Drosophila melanogaster: one gene and its partner. The protein of the gene in region 1 interacts with the protein of each later gene in a pairwise test. Each region holds a gene or a part of one and is shown in the gene's direction. Other genes may lie near its edges. The genes, in order: Sugb and CG14882.

Region 1 (9,903 bases):
CGTGCCGTACGTCAGTGTTCGTTTCTGGGTCACACTGCAACTTTGACCTGATTTGTGGAGTAGGCCGTCTATATACACATCGGCTATATGCACTATATAGCATACAAATGCCGTGATAGTTGATAGTTTTTCCAGATATCGAGCGTTATGCAAAGAGGAGTTCACAAAGAGAATCTGCAAATCAATGAGCTCAATTAAGCGCTGGTGCGAGGACGCGCCAGGATGTCTAAGACCATTATTGCGATTATGCCGATGGGCGGCGGTTAGTGGATGGTATGACATCACAGACGAGTGGGCGTTGATGGGTGAGGGGTGGCGCCACCCCCTGGGGGCGGTTAGCGACCGGCTCTCTATCTTTCGAGGGTGAGCCGCGCAAGAGGGTGAAACTGGCCAACAGCGGTTCACGTGCGGCCCACAAAACTGATGCACTAAGTCCAGTAATGGTATCTTATAATTTCTATATATTGTTTTTAACACATTCAAATCATGCAAGAGGGCTTTGAAAACCAACCTTATCCTTGCTTGATTCTTTATATAATGCTTGAACTCTGCGTCTCATACAATAAAAATCAATTTGGCAAAAGTGGCGGCGCCGCGTTTTACCAATTTTCCTTTGTGTTTTTTATCGTGGCTCTTCCTTTTGCGTTCCGTATTCGCAGCGGAAAACACACAAAAACACCGAAAGAAAACACACACGCGAACGGAAAAACGAAAGCCGCAAGAAAGTCCGCCGTCTCGCAGACAGCGAAGGAAACTGCAGTAAAACGTTGGGAAAGCAGAAACACAAGTTTTTATTTGCACGCTTTTGTCGCCTGTAATTGTTGTGGCCGCCGTTGGAAAATTGTCGAGCGGAAAAGCGTGGAAAACGAGCGTTAGCGCGCACGACTCAAAATTCAAACTGCAGGCGGATGCCAACAGCGAAAGTGGAAAAGCCTTTTTCTGTTTTCCCCGCAACGAACGAGAGAGAGAGCGAGAGCCTGCGCACTGCCCGCTGCTCTCTCCCTCGCGCGCGGAAAAGAGCTTTTCCCATGGACGTAGTGCTGTAGGGTATCTATTGCTTCCTTTTCGGAAAAGCGTCTAAGCACTTTCGGCCTACTCCCCTGTCTGTGTCCACTTTTCTCGCTGAGTCTGCGCCCTGCCCTCCGCTGCAAGGTAAACAAGTTCAGGAGGAGTTTCCGCGGAGTAGTTTCCCACCCTTTGAGCGACTGGGCTTTTCCGAGCCATTCAGGCAACTCTGCAGGCTGGACGCCCGTGGGTGTTCACGTGCTGCAGTTGGCACTGTAAACATTTTAAAAGTTAAATATTCATTAATAGCAATATATTTTTATTTAATATTTCAATTTGTACAGAAACTAAATTACAGCATACATATTAGGATAAACCATCTTGCAAATAACTGAAGATTTGTTACAGTAAAGATTAAGATACCACATTCAAACGCGTTTCAATTTTCATTCATAACAACAAATATTTATATATGTATTTCAAGAAAAACCTTTATAAAAATTTTAAGTTAGAAAAGCGACAAAAAGTCAACTTATTGCAGAAGAAGTGAAACAATAAAGGCTAAATTTTGAGTTTTATATTTAGTTTTAATACTTTAAATGCTAATTTGATCATTAGTCAATGAAAGAATCTTTTTGATAGGATTTCCAGTTAAACACGAGTTTTTTTTTTGCAAAAATAATTTCTTTGGAAACTGATTCGTCGTGTTCCATAAATTTGCCTATTTTCTGTCTGTTGAATTGGCATTTGTAAACATGGAGCAGCTGATTCGGACTTCGCATTGTGCGTCCAATTATATCCATGACATTCATCGAGGACAACAGAAGTGTGTTGGCTGCCAAATAAACACGCAAGGAGACGTCTGCGCCCCCGACCTCTGATCCCGTGGAAAGTCCACCCCCGCGGCGGCTGCTTGGCTTCTGCTTGGCTTCTGCTCCTGTAGCCATGGTATTTTTTATGTGGGCGAGCCTCGTTCCGGGGGATTACACCGGAATGCACTCGAACGCAAGGCGAAGTTCGCATTAAAAAATAGACGACCCTAGACAGCGGAGCATGAAATATTAAGCACTTCGAGCGGATAAACAAAGGCGGCGAGAGGACGACTTGTTGGATTATTTTCACTCATTTCTGCGGTCAAAAACATTCAAAGCAAACAGCGCTCAGATGCGAAGTTGTTAGTAAAGCCATTGCACAAACATGTAAATGTAGTGCGTTCAAATCTGGCAAATTCCGTAGTAGTAAAAAGTTGTTAAAAGGTTATTTGGTTTCTAAAAAAATTGTTAAATGTATAAACACATTTCTACAAAATGCTTTCGAGTTAACAACAACATTATTGGTTTAAAGTAAATATAGCTAAATTATTTTCGTATTATTAAATTCTTCGCTAAATTAATGTCTCTAATAAAATGTTTTTCAACGCTACGTTTTTGAAATGAGTTTTTCAAAAGTTTGGTGTGGCAATGCCCTAAATTGTGCGGGCTAAAAATCGGTTTGAAGCGTAGCTACCCTTCTATCCAAGTGTTTCACCTAAAGGCGAGGCTTATTTAGGGGTTTTCGCGTTGCTTCGAGGACTTTCGAAGGAATTTCTTTGGCCACATTGCTGCACAAAGAAGAATTTGGCGGTGGAAATTTTATTTTTGCCGTGGAAAATCATACGAAATACGGGCAAACAGCGAGCAGATGACTGCCGGTAGACCCATGAAGATCCACGGACCCACTGCCTGCATTGAATAACCGCAAAGTGCTCTGCTTCCGGAGTTCCGGTTTCGAGAGTCTGGTAAGTGGCGTGAGGAGAGCACTCGCAACAAAAGGAAAAAATCAGTTTATATATATCTTAATAATGCCGATCCTCCAGATAAACACACAATGTCGTCGACATCGACGGCTGCAGCGAACGCAGCGCCAGCGAAGACGGAGGTGCGGTACGTGACCGAGGTGCCCAGCAGTCTGAAGCAACTGGCGCGCCTCGTGGTCCGTGGATTCTATTCCCTGGAGGATGCGCTTATCATCGACATGCTGGTGCGGAATCCCTGCATGAAGGAGGACGACATCGGCGAGCTGTTGCGCTTCGAGAAGAAGCAGTTAAGGGCCCGGATAACCACGCTGCGCACCGACAAGTTCATCCAGATCAGGCTTAAAATGGAAACGGGGCCGGATGGTAAGGCGCAGAAGGTCAATTACTACTTCATCAACTACAAGACCTTCGTGAACGTGGTGAAGTACAAGCTGGATCTCATGCGCAAGCGTATGGAGACGGAGGAGCGTGATGCCACCAGTAGAGCAAGTTTTAAGTGCTCTTCGTGTTCCAAAACATTCACGGACCTCGAAGCGGACCAGCTGTTCGACATGGCCACGCTGGAGTTCCGGTGCACCTTCTGCGGCAGTTCCGTGGAGGAGGACAGCGCCGCCATGCCCAAGAAAGACTCCCGCCTAATGCTAGCGCACTTCAACGAGCAGCTGCAGCCACTGTACGACCTGCTCCGTGAGGTGGAGGGCATCAAGCTGGCGCCAGAGGTGCTCGAACCGGAGCCCGTGGACATCGACACCATTCGAGGACTGAACAAACCCAACGCCACGCGACCGGACGGCATGGCGTGGTCGGGTGAGGCGACGAGAAACCAGGGCTTTGCCGTGGAGGAAACTCGTGTGGACGTCACCATTGGCGGCGACGACACCTCGGATGCGGTGATTGAGCGCAAGTCGCGCCCCATTTGGATGACAGAGAGCACTGTGATAACCGACACGGATGCTGCCGATGGCGCGGCCGATGCGGTGCAGACGGCAAGCGGATCTGGGCATCGCAACCGAAAGGAAAACGAGGACATCATGTCCGTGCTGCTGCAGCATGAGAAGCAGCCGGGCCAGAAGGAGCCGCATATGAAGGGTATGCGAGTGGGCTCATCGAACGCCAACTCTAGCGATTCCAGCGACGACGAAAAGGACATCGAAAATTCCAAGATTCGTAAGAAGCACCAACCATTTCTCGATCTCATCTTTTATGGGTTCTAATATACGTTTTTGTACTTGCAGCTGATGTCGACTTCGACAATTATATCAACTCAGATTCCGCGGAGGAGGACGACGATGTGCCCACTGTGCTAGTGGCTGGACGACCGCATCCGCTCGACCAACTGGACGACAACCTGATAGCCCAGATGACGCCGCAGGAGAAGGAGAACTACATACACGTATACCAGCAGCACTACAGCCATATATTCGAATGAGGGCGTCTGCAATTAGCCACGATTTCTACGTTTTCCACGAGTTTCCCATCTCACGCATAGAGTCATTGTAATTTAAGTTACCCACTAGTTCGAGCGAATGTGTACAAATGAAATGCGTATAAAAATGTGCATAAACAAAGACCGAGTTTGATACTGGGAAATATTTTGAGCAAAAAATTGTGTATTATAATTTATAGAAGCTATTGGACGTTTTCAATAATCTTCTAAATAGACAAATATTTTAAAATACATTAAAGCTCGTTATTTTCGCTTGTAAGCAAGTGCCATCTCTAGCTGGACCAACTCCCATCCCTAGTCGGTCCAATCAGCTGTGTTTGCCATTATTGTTTTTTTTTTTTCTTAGGTTTATTTAAGTGTTGCTAATAAAAAACCGAGCGGCCGGGCGCCTCTTCTTGTTCGTCGGTGGGCGTATTCAGTTTATAATAATTGGTGTGCCGCAGATAAGGCGGATTCGTAAACAAACGACGGCAAACACAACCAAACATGTTGACACTCGGCTCGTAACGCCAGCGGCTCCATTCAGTCGTGTTTTGGATGTCCATCTAGCCGGAGCCCTCGATTTCCGCGGACTGTGCGTGGTGCGGCACTCAATTCGTGCTAAAAGTGCGACAAGTTCCCTTGCACTTCGAATAGCCAACGAGCAAAAGTGTTGATTCTTTGAAAGGAAAACGGATTAAACCAACTCAGCGGATTCCAATTGGAGCAGAAACGTGATCCCGCGTGCAAAAACACACATGCAAAATAAATAACAACACCTGCTGGCTGTGTGAGTGTGCAGGCACATGCTCTTTCTGCTTGCCCTCGCATTTTTTGTGAATGAACTGAAAAACGCGCTAGTTTAGCACCGATAGTATTGATCTTTGTGCCGCGGGTCAACGTAATTACGCCGAAATGAAGGCCACCATCGATAAGGAGCTGCTGCCCATGAAGGCGCACTACTTTCTCTTCAACGCCGGCAAGTACCCCTTCCCCATACCTAGCAAAACCATTAAGTTAAGCACCGCGCATCGCTTACATCAGCCGATAATGTTTTCTCGTTTTCAGAGGCACGCACGTGCTGCATATATGTATATATATGTATATGAGTGTGTGTACGTACATCCATATGTACATACATTTAGCTGTTAATTGCGAACTTTTGATCTGTAGCTTCGATTTCGTCACAGGGCACTTATGCATTAATGAACATATAGAGCACCATGTTCGAAGATAAGGCAATCACCCGCAATAGAGAACATAGAGCAATGAAAGTCCAGTTAAATAGCGATAAGCTAATGCAGGCAGATTCGGGTTACGATTCGATTCCCATCGTATGATGCAGCACTTTGCTGGCTTTTAATTACAATCGGAGCAATTCCATTACGTTTATGTCGTGTAATCGAAACTTAATTAGCTGTAACCCTTATAACTTTGAGCTGTTACAAAAAATTCAATTGTCTTGTATCTACTGATATGTTAGTGTATTTTACAACCATTTAATATCCATATTTTATTAAAAGTACGCCCATATACACATACATACTAAAACAGCAACAATTTACAATTTTCATACGATTAATATTTTTCGTGGAAATAATCTCCTATCCAGCAATACCAGTGAAACACGCTCTATTCTGTATAAAATCATCAAAAAATGTGTATTTGGAATCACTTCAATTAATATAACTTTTCCATGGAAACGGATGGAAAATTTGAAGTATCTGTAAATGTCTGGCGTCCAATTAATTAAGCACTTTATTTGAGTTAAGACCACATAGAAACAAAATAATACAATTTCCAATCTGGTGTCAATTGCCAGAATTGGCTGACACAATTCATTTTTGGTTAGTTAAAACATCAGATGTTACTGATATTCGTATTAGTAATTAGATGTTTTGAAAATTGTGAAGATAGTAATACTATTCTTGGCCATGCAAACACAGACGTGCGATAAGGTGTACTTTATACCCCAAGCTAAACCACGACTAAACCGTTTTCGAAATGATGAGCGGCGGACTCATCGCAATCCCACTGTCAAAGGTGTCCAATTGTTAGGAAACGAGATTTTGTGACAGCACCATGGCCCAGAGACCTCAATGCCGCGCCCGAAAGTCATCAAAAGTTAAGACGTGCCGACAGGCAAACCACTTTCAGCAATTAAAGCTTACTTTTGCTTTTCAATTCAATTAACATTAGGTATGTTCTACTTCGAAGCGAGCCGACAATGTCTAGCTAGTTGCACTTGTTTGCGGTTGACTTTGCTTATCGGCGGTGGAGAAACACCCACTGCTTTCGAACTGCCCATATGCATATCTCCACCCACTCACTCACTCATCTTACTTATCAGCTCTAACGAGTCGGCAAGATAATCTAGTGTTTTTCTGCATTATATTTATTTAGGCACCGCTCCCGTCGTCCCCTTCATGCCCACTCTGGCCGGCCAATTGGGCTACTCCCCCGCCGTTGTGGGCACCATGTACACTATCCTTCCCATCATCGGAATGCTGGCGAAGCCCCTCTTTGGATACATTGCGGACCGGTAAGATGATCCCTCTGACTTATCTGTCCATGTAGATCCAATTTCCAAGACCCAAACACGTTTGTTTATCACACTTTATTTAATTTTATAAACTCCTACTCAGCACAATGTTACGTCTTTTTGTGATAAGTTTCAAGTGAGCTATACTCATAAAGTGTCTATGTATGCATATCCCAACTGAATTTAAGGAAATTATCAAACAACAAAAAAAGATAAAGCCCCTTTAGAGTGGCATCAATTACATATGTTTTACCAAAGAATTTGAATATTAACTGATTAACACTATCAATCAAAAGACACAGTTCAAATTTGCAATGACAATGCTTATAGTTGGTTTGCTGATTGATGGATAAATTTATTCATTATCGAAAGATAATGTACTTGTTTTTAGGTGTCACTTGTTGGTTTTCTACCAATTAGAAAATATTAATTCAATAATAGGAAAATTTGAACTAATTCTGATACACTGACTATTTGAAGATTTAACTAATTAGAATGGTTTTCACCCATCCAAAGGTACCATCGCCATCGACCCCTATTTCTGGGTGGCCAGGTCCTCACGGGCATCGCCTTTTTCCTCATCATGTTCGTGCCGGGAATGGAGAAGCCGTTGCCCAAGGTCGAGTTCCACTGCCACCAGGGTGTATCCGACATTCCGAGATTCTGCTCGGAGTACGGCGAGTGCGTGGAGAGAAATCTTGAGCGGTACTACGGGAACAGGACGTTGGAGTGTGAACTGAACTGCGAGGCACAGCCCTTCATGTGGGACATAGTGTGTGAAGATTGGCTAAAGAACAACACGGAAAACTGTGCCGCCAATCGAACCAATACCCAGATGGAATTCGGAGCCAGCATAACTATGCAAAAGATTGAGAATGATGGCAGCTGCATGTTCTTCATGATTCCGCACGATCAAGGCCAGATTGCAGGCCAGAATGTCACGTTGTACTGCCCGAAGGAGAAGGAGTACTTCAAATCCAATTGCACCATGGACTGTCGTGAGGACTATCTCAAGGAGCAGCTGGCGGAGAGTGCTGTGATTAACACGAGTAGTGCCGTAACCATGCCGCAGTTTTGGCTGTTCTTTGGCCTGCTCATCTTCAGCTGGATCGGCATGGCGGTGGTGGTCAGCATTGGTGACGCCATATGCTTTGGCATCCTCGGCGATCGTCATCACCTGTACGGCAAACAGCGCCTGTGCGGCTCCCTTGGATGGGGAGTTTTTGCCCTCTTGGCCGGCCTCCTTGTGGATCACATGTCATTGGGTGAGGTGAACAAGAACTACACGGCCGTGTTCTGGATGGCTTTGCTTATCATGGGATTTGATGTGTTCGCATCATCCAAGCTGAGGGTGAGCATATCAGAGACAGAAAATCCTTTCCTTAAACTAAAGTTTCCGTACTCCAAATTACAGCACACGCCAACACATTTGTCGTCCAATATTTTGAAAGATGTGGGTCAGATGTTTCTCTCGGTGCGCTGCGTTATATTTTTCTTGTGGTGCGTTGCCATTGGACTTGGAACGGCGCTGATATGGAACTTCCTTTTCATATACCTGGAGGAGCTGGACAAGGCGTTCGAGGGATGCGACAGCTCGATTAAGACATTGGAGGGCTTGGTCATGGGGATTCAGTGTTTTGGCGGTGAGCTGCCGTTCTTCTTCCTATCCGGATGGATTCTAAAGAAAATTGGCCATGTAAACGCCATGAGTGTGGTGCTTTTTGGATTCGGAGTGAGATTTATTCTCTACTCGATGCTTCAGAATCCCTGGTACATCCTGCCCATCGAACTGATGAACGGGGTGACCTTCGGTCTATTTTATGCAACAATGGCCTCCTATGCAAGCATTGTGGCACCGCCAGGCACCGATGCTACCATGCAGGTGAGTTCGATGAATGTGTAGGGGGCGATCCCAAGAGTTATGCATATTGTGGCCATTTCAGAGTCTGGTTGGAGCGATATTCGAAGGCGTTGGTGTGTCAATGGGCAGCCTGATCGCTGGACAGCTATTTGAGTCGGTCACTGCACGCACCACCTTTGAGATCTTCGGAATTGGTGCCTTCATTGTCTTTGTGATCCACGTTTGCATCCAGCTGTATCTGCAGCGCAACAGCAACATCGACGAAAATGGTAAGGGTACGGTCGCTTCTGCCTCCGCCACTGCCTCACCCTCTGCACCCTTGGAGACAGACATTCCTAAAAATACAGACCATAAAGACGGTGACGGGTTTCGCGAAGTCGACTTGAGTTGATGGTGACCGTGATTGTCTTCCTGAATTTTGAATTTTGTAGTTTTATGTAAATTGACGGATTTAAACTAACCAGAAGCTAGCGCCCTTAAGTATTATCCATTTAAATGCAGTGGATACGCTGGCCATTGTACTTAAACCACCATATATTTTGTAAGATCTGCCATAGATTTTATAATAGAATATTTGACGAAAACAAACCTAATAATTCTCAAAATGAATTTATAATATTGTCGTCCTATGAAATAAGCTTTGTAATACTGAAACGAAATGATGATAGCCATATCATACTTTTTCAATTTAAATGTATGCGAACTGAAGAAAACTTTAACAAATAAAATGGGTATTCGATTTCTTTGAAAAAAGAGAAGAAAAACTATTTTAAGTGCCTATAAAACCTAAATAATTTATAAGAAGTAAATATTCTTACAGTGGAAAAATAATGAGCTAACATGTAGACTAACACTTTTGGTCAGCCATAATGAAATGTAACTTACTTTTTTTTGGCATTTTAAACTAATCGCTTTAGTTCCTGTGTGTAATTTAAGTGGAATGTTTATTAGATTCAATCCCCCTTTAGCTTTTACTTGTAAATTTATTATTTAATACAATAATATAAATGTTTCACTAACTCTTCTGAATATTTTTAGGCACTGTCAAGTATTTCGCACCGACAGATGCAATGCACATGCTGAATGATCAGGAGTATAGTAGAGTTAGCTAAACAATGTTTGTATTGGACGCATCACCACCCACAACACCAATCACCAACGAGCGCCAGCCTAAAAAACAGCGGCGACAAGGGCCACGCTTCTACAGTTCAAATGAATGCTGCACTCCAACATATTTCTACTCCCGAGCTGCATGTTGAATCGATGTACTACCT
Region 2 (6,930 bases), on another chromosome or scaffold:
GATGTCCACATTGCGATTAAGCACAGCAGCTAGATTCTGGGTAACCACTGCCAGTGAGGGCGGGGGCGGAGCTGGTGTAAGTGAGAATATGTACAGAGGCACGAATAGCTTATGCAGCAAGTGCTCGGTTAACACCGCGTTCAGATCCTTGATTTCCAGTAGAAGAATGTCACTCAAATAATGCAAATGATCCAGATGCTCGGCAACCAAATTGGACAGCTTTTGATTCGATTGATGGCTGCGGATGAATTAAGAAATCAATACTATAAAACGAGGGACTATATTACAATAACTCTTACTCTATATCTGTGCGAACACAAGTGTCTAGTTCAAGAATGTGTTTGCCGATAAACCAGACCAGATTACTGAAATATGGAGCAGCCGTTCTAGGGAGAAAAAAATAGTTTAATGGAGCTCATGGGACTGAAGGCAAAGGTCGTACTTGTCTCGAATAAAACGCAACATGCTTGGATTTTGAACCTTGTAGACATTTAAGGAAATGGTGCGCACTGCAATTCTCACCATTGACTCGGGATGATTAAAGAACTTAATAGCCTCTGTATACAAGGGAAAGTCATTTGTGTGCTGTAAGGAATATGTCACATTAAATGGATGTAAATATGTGTTTTAGGCAATGCAAACCTCATTGTAAAAGAAGTGTATTGTGTGAGTGTTTAACTTTAGACTTAGCGTCTTTAAAAAAAGTATATAATAGCCCATCACATCCTCGTCGGAGAAGTCAAACTTGTGCACCATGATAGAATTTACATGGTTGTTGCTCAACAGATAATCTGCAACGTCATAGGAATGATTACGTCTACTGTATTATAGAAACTGTTGAAAATTGTACTTACACAGGGACGTCTCGTTGCGTATGTTCTCAAAGAGGATGTTGAGAGTCTGAAGGAGCTGCACGCAGACGAAACTCGAGCCTCCACTCTTTTGTCGCATTATGTGCAGGAAATACGATAGCATATTCTTCTCCAAGAAGAAGCTGTTGCAAATAATTAGATTAAGGTTTATTACATTGAGATGCTTAATACTCACTCAAACACCAGCGAGTCATGCTGGTCGCCCCAAATCAGGATCTCTGCGATGCAGCGCAGCGACTCCACCAGCAGGCCACGATTACTTTCCGACACGGTGGTGTTCTTCTCCAGAATGCTGTACAGGTACTTAAGGTGCTCCAGCGACAAGCGGTTTTTGGGCCGCCCACCCCAGGGTCCGCCAAACCAGCTGCGACTCCGGAACATGTTGGCAACTAGGATGGAATCAACTGGCCACGATCCGCCTGACTGCTCTCATATCAGGGTAAGGAGGAGTGCGGGAGCGCTGTTCTCTTGGATCTTTGCATGCACTACTGCTCACGGTCACGCCACTGGGTTGGCCCACAATAAGGGGGCACCTAATGCCTGCGATTGCACGAATCTAATATTGTAATTTGCGAATGGCGATTTTTTCCAACAAATTGCTCTTCTTCTTCACGGGGAACACAAGTGTCACAGTCAGCTGTTGCTTCCGCCCATATTTATGGTTATCGGTATCGAAGTAACAGAGATGACAAGTGGCTATTTTGTTGTGATTGCATGAGAACTGCGACTGGTTCACGACTTTTAAAAACCTCTCAAAAGAACCGTTTGAATTTTGTAAAACCAGACAGTAAAATTTGGAACAAACCTCATATATTAATAGCATATCACACCATGCATTTTACATTAAATATAATTAATGGATTTTTTTGGTACCGTTTGTTATGAAAATGGGTTCACATTTGCATATTCTACAGAGGTGAAAATGTACGAGAACTGAATTTGATACGTTTTGCTACAGTTTGACTATTATTTTACACATCATCCACGAATACGGCTTTATTTGTTGATCTGCAGAGCATTAGCTAGCTAGGTTTTTATTTAAAGTTGATGGAATACGAGCCCGTGTTGGGATCCTGTTGCATTTGGAAATTCTGTGTAGACAGTCCGAACGGTTTGAGTATCATGTTGCCCAGGTCCTTTAAGCTGGACATCATCTCGTTTTTGAGCTTCTCGTTGCGCTCGTTTATAATTGGCGGCAGCCGAATCTGAGCCTCGCGAGCCTCCTGCTGACCGGGATCGATCTCAGTAACTTTTTTGTAGTCCTCCAGAGCCTCGTCGGGCTTGTCTTCTTGCTCATAGAGCTTGGCGCGCCTGTAAGATGTAATTAGACTTTAGAAATTTTAAGGGAGATATTAAAATAAAGACCTTAAAAGCACCCTCACATACTCCGGCCACAGTTCTATAGCCTTTGTGCAGTCGTCGATGGCCGCTTTGTTGGCCTCCAGCTTAATCTTGGCAGCAGCCCTGTTTCCGTAGAGAACTGCTCGCTCCTTGGAGCTGGCCGAGGGGCAAATGTCTAAGGCTTCTGTGTAGGTCTTGGCGGCGCCTTCGGCGTCGTCATTTTTGAACAACTCGTTGCCCTCAACTTTCAGCTTATCGGCCTTTTCTTTGTTAGCTGTCAGCTGCTCTGGGCTGAGATCCTTCTCCCGTTCGCGCAACTCCTCAATGGTTAGCTCAGAGTCCACTGTCGTTGGTGTCGCGATGGAATCTCCACCAGCCGCGCCCTGTTCCGCTTCGTCATCCAACGCCAGCTGGTTTTGCTTCTCCACGATCTCATCCACGTCCTTTTCGCTCTGCCGCGTGCTGGTGGCCTCTTTTTCGGTTATCTCCTCCCCGATCGCATCATGGAATTCGTCGTCACTGTTGGCGTTGCCTGCCATTCTTTTTAAAATTGATCCTTACCGAATTTACTGGAGATTTCGGTTTGTTGTTCAGCAACAAATAAAGCTCCTCATGCTAACGATAACTGTGCATATCGATAACACCGATGTCGTACAGTGTTGACAAAGGTAGGTTTCTGATTAGGTACCTTCCCAAGCTAAGAAATGTTAGGTACAGATAATTTTTAAAACAAATAATTTAAGGATAATCCTTAATGTTGTATTTGGCAAAGATGAAGACCAATTTAAAATAAACATTTAATCTTTTACAGCTTCCCTTGATAAGGGAAGCTGTAAATAAACTCTTTCCAACACTACCGCTTGTTAACGATTTGACTGCTGCCCATGCGAATTGGTAAATACGGGAAAAATGGACTTAGGAGCTTATAAATTGAGTGAATACATCCCCGCCAAGCCGCTGGTCGGTAATCTGGAGTTGTGTTTCACGGACGAAGAGCAGGTGAGTTAGGAGCTACCGTGAGAATAGCCTTTTCAAGCCTATCTTTGTAGAGACCCACCGAAACATGCGGCCAACTTAAATGCTGCGATATTTTAAAGTTCCCATTCGCCCGCCCTGATTTCCAGCCAAGTTCAGTGGAGATAAAGGAGAGCAAGGTGCTCGTGTCTGCTGATAAGGCTACAGAGACAAAACGCGTGGTGGAGCTGACTCTGGAGTCCACGTTCGATTACCAGCCCGGGGATACCATTGGAATTTTGCCTGCTAATAAACTCGAACAAGTGGAAAGTCTGCTCCATCGGCTGGAACTGTTAGACCAGGCCGACACCACTTGCCACTTAAAGTTGGTGTTCAACTGCGCCAATAAGAATGCTAAGCTACCCGCCCACATTCCAGCAACTACTACTCCCCGGGAGATCCTTACCCACTGCCTCTCCCTTAATTTTGTTCCGCAGAAGCAGCTCCTCAGCGCCCTGGCCGGATTTACAAGCGATGACAAAGAGCGTTGTTTCCTGTCCTGTCTGTCCTCTAAACAGGCCACCGAGTACTACCAATCGCTGATATTAGAGCAAGGCCTGCTTTTCATAGACATTCTTGAAGTGTGCGTCAACTGCAGGCCACCACTGGCATTCCTGGCAGAGCACTTGCCACGGCTGCTGCCGCGACCGTACTCCATTGCCAACAGTCCCTTGGAGGCTAGTAATCGCGAACTTCGCGTTATCTACTCGCTGCTCAGCCTCAAACCTGGAGTCACAACCAGCATGTTGGAGGCGGCTGCACAGCAAAGCAGTCCGGAGCATTCCAAAAAAGTAGTTATCTACCCACGAATGAGCAACCTATTCCGTTACACAGAGCGGGATGTGGGCAGAAACCAAATACTTATTGCTGTTGGCACAGGTCTGGCGCCTTTTCTTGGATTCTTAGCCCACAAGGAAGAGCTTATAAAACAGCAGCCGCAACAGCCAAGCGGGCAATCCTGGCTCTACATTGGTGCCAAGACCCCAGAAGCAGTTCTTAAGCGTGAAAAACTAATGGAGTGGCAGGAATCTTCGTTGCTCGAGCGCCTACGGATGTGTTACTCGCGAGGCGAATCCCCCAGCTACGTGCAACATATGTTGGAGGAGGACTGTGAGGATCTGGTCGAGTTCCTGATGAAGTCAGAGACTGTGTTGTACATTTGTGCCGATGGCGCCAAGATTTCGCAGTCCATTGCAGGTGTTTTAAGTCGTTGCTTGCAGAAGGCTATGCATCTCACTGAAGAAGAAGCTTCGCAGCTGTTAAAAAAACTGAGGAAGCAGGACAAATACCGCGAGGATGTTTGGCTGTAATGGACAAGTCTTAGGTGCAGTCAAAATAAAAGCTTCATTAATTAAGCCCTATAAATAAATACCTTAATATATTAGTCGTTTGTAACTCTTACAGAAAATTTGAATTTTTAGTGTGTTTGTTGTTTTTACGTACGGTTAAGGTCGTTTATTTTCATAATTGAAAATAAGTGTAGCAAAGGAACCACTTCCACTGCTCATTTGAGTAGCTAATGTATGCAAGTATTTGCACTCAGATGTTTGTAAATCAATTGCTATTATTTTAACTGCAGCCTCAATGTAAATAATTATAAAACAGAAAGCTTTGGTCGAATAAGTAAATAACGATATATTTAACAACACAAAATAAAAATTACAGTGCAAGGTAAACTAAATACATACAATTGTGAGGGCCATCTTCAATGATCGAAGTGGATGGGGACGACTACGTGTACTAAATGGATTTGGGTCTGTGTATAAAATTGACTTAAGTGGTAAATTGCAAAATATATCTAAATAATGGTAGAATATAGATTACGACTTAGGTTTCAAGCAAATTAAACGTGCACACATAAAACATAAAACGTATAGTAGGGTTTGCTCTTTGAATTTAACCGATTGGTAAAGCGCTAATGTATCGTTATTGTTTCTCCGCTTCTCTAAATATCTAGATCTTTTTATTTATTATACTGTTTACGTTTATTTTGGCAAGTCGTTTTGACCTTGCACAATAATATGCATTTTGTATTTTATCTACGTTTAAGTTTAATTGAAATAGAGCCAATTCTTTTAGTGTATACTAATATAATTACGAATCGATCAAAATTGATGTCAGCTTCTTCTTTCTCCTATTCGTCCCTTTACATTTGCAATAAAAGTTGCGTATAAAAAATTATGCTACTTTATGTTGTTCTTTGTTTGGTTTCAAGACTTAAGTTCCATTTTACATTTACGTTTTTAATTGCAAATTTTGCGTTCGTCTTAAATGCGTTTGCGAATATGTAATGTCGGGTATGTTTCGGTTTCCAAAAAGGCAATCTAACCCCGTTTCTACTGCCCCAAAATACTATCCGTTCGTTGCCTTGCCTAATACTCATTTAAGCTAAACTAAGAAAATCAAGTATATTTTCGATTAATAATTAAGCTCTTTAAAAATTATGAATGCATAATTGTAGGCCAAATATTGGGATTTCATTTCGTATATAAAATTTAACTATGAACCGATCTGCAGCAGCAGCAATCCATTTTCCCTATTAATATCAAAATTGCAAGTAAAATATAATCCCTATCGGTAAGTGTATATATAACAGATAAAAAAGCTAACACCGGCTGGCGAAAGATCCTTGAATGCACTCCTTTTTTCATTCGCCTTCGTTGTGTTTTCGTAAAATATCTGTAGTCTGGCGACTAGCCCACAGATATACTTTTCGAATAGAACTTGTGGTGGTGGGAAATAGCATAAAATATCGAACTGAGAGGATAATGGAAAAATAGGTAGTTTAAACCTTCTTCAATATATTCTCTTCGGCAATTGGCATTGCTTATGATTCCCGTTGGGAGTAGGTTTAGTGTACGTATACCACTTCTATATGATCTATATAGTCTTTCTAGGGACAATATTTCAATATTTCACTTTAGCTTTGACACACACATTACGGCGTTAAATAACATCTCTATTGTGATAGGGGCTTGTATAGAATTACAATTTTCTTTGTGCGTATGGCAAATATCTCCAAGGAAGGAACAAGGGAATCTACTTTAATCTGTTCTTTTGTGGCGTTTGGTTAGTCTTACGTTTGTACTAATTAAAATGGAATATCGAACATTTATCCCTCAATCCCGTCCACACTGCGAATATCAGCTAATATACATACAAGCTCTGTCTAGCTGGCTCTAATTAGTTATCTGTTGCATCGATATCTGTATTCTATGGGAAATGCATAAATTGTGGAGATAATCTTGCTGTGTGTCGCTTGCTGCTGCTAGCTCTAGTCCTAATGGCACTTGTTACACTCATTTCGACTTGCTATATCTATCGCCTTCGTTTTGTTTTGATTTTTTTTTTTTGTTTTTTGGTAATGTACAACAAGTATTGCATGTTCTCTGTTAGGGTTCGTTTGCACTTACTGACTACGACGAATTTTATAAAGAGTCGCATAATGCTGATTTGATAAAATCGCTTAAATCACAATTATGTATATATACGGGTATATAAAGAGTAATCAAACTTATGTCCCTACATTTAATAATACAGTATCTATGTATATCATATGTGCGTGTTTGTGTGCGTTGTTGAAGTAAGCTAATTTGCCATAGGACAATCTAATCTAAGCGATAACCCCGCCCCCCTGCCATCGATGAACTGCTCGAGCGATGCGATATGGATCCACGGTTTGGCGACGGTTTCCTTCGAGTTT

The links.
Region 2: the proteins of Sugb (region 1) and CG14882 interact in a two-hybrid assay, tested with the Drosophila melanogaster proteins (one large-scale study listed by BioGRID).

What each region holds. Positions count from the first base shown.
Region 1 is NT_037436.4:11,679,441-11,689,343, forward strand, and holds Sugb (sugar baby), read left to right. Parts: upstream 1-4,539; 5' UTR 4,540-5,141; coding exon 5,142-5,205; intron 5,206-6,629; coding exon 6,630-6,768; intron 6,769-7,284; coding exon 7,285-8,119; exon of another isoform or gene 8,120-8,182; coding exon 8,183-8,650; exon of another isoform or gene 8,651-8,711; coding exon 8,712-9,020; 3' UTR 9,021-9,385; downstream 9,386-9,903. Other genes in the region: TfIIEalpha (transcription factor IIEalpha), read left to right, coding at 2,872-3,967, 4,036-4,229.
Region 2 is NT_033777.3:16,440,166-16,447,095, forward strand, and holds CG14882 (uncharacterized protein), read left to right. Parts: upstream 1-3,041; 5' UTR 3,042-3,122; coding exon 3,123-3,212; intron 3,213-3,262; coding exon 3,263-4,537; 3' UTR 4,538-4,845; downstream 4,846-6,930. Other genes in the region: ema (endosomal maturation defective), read right to left, coding at 1-238, 300-386, 443-585, 643-791, 855-994, 1,048-1,253; Ttc1 (tetratricopeptide repeat domain 1), read right to left, coding at 1,907-2,183, 2,238-2,752.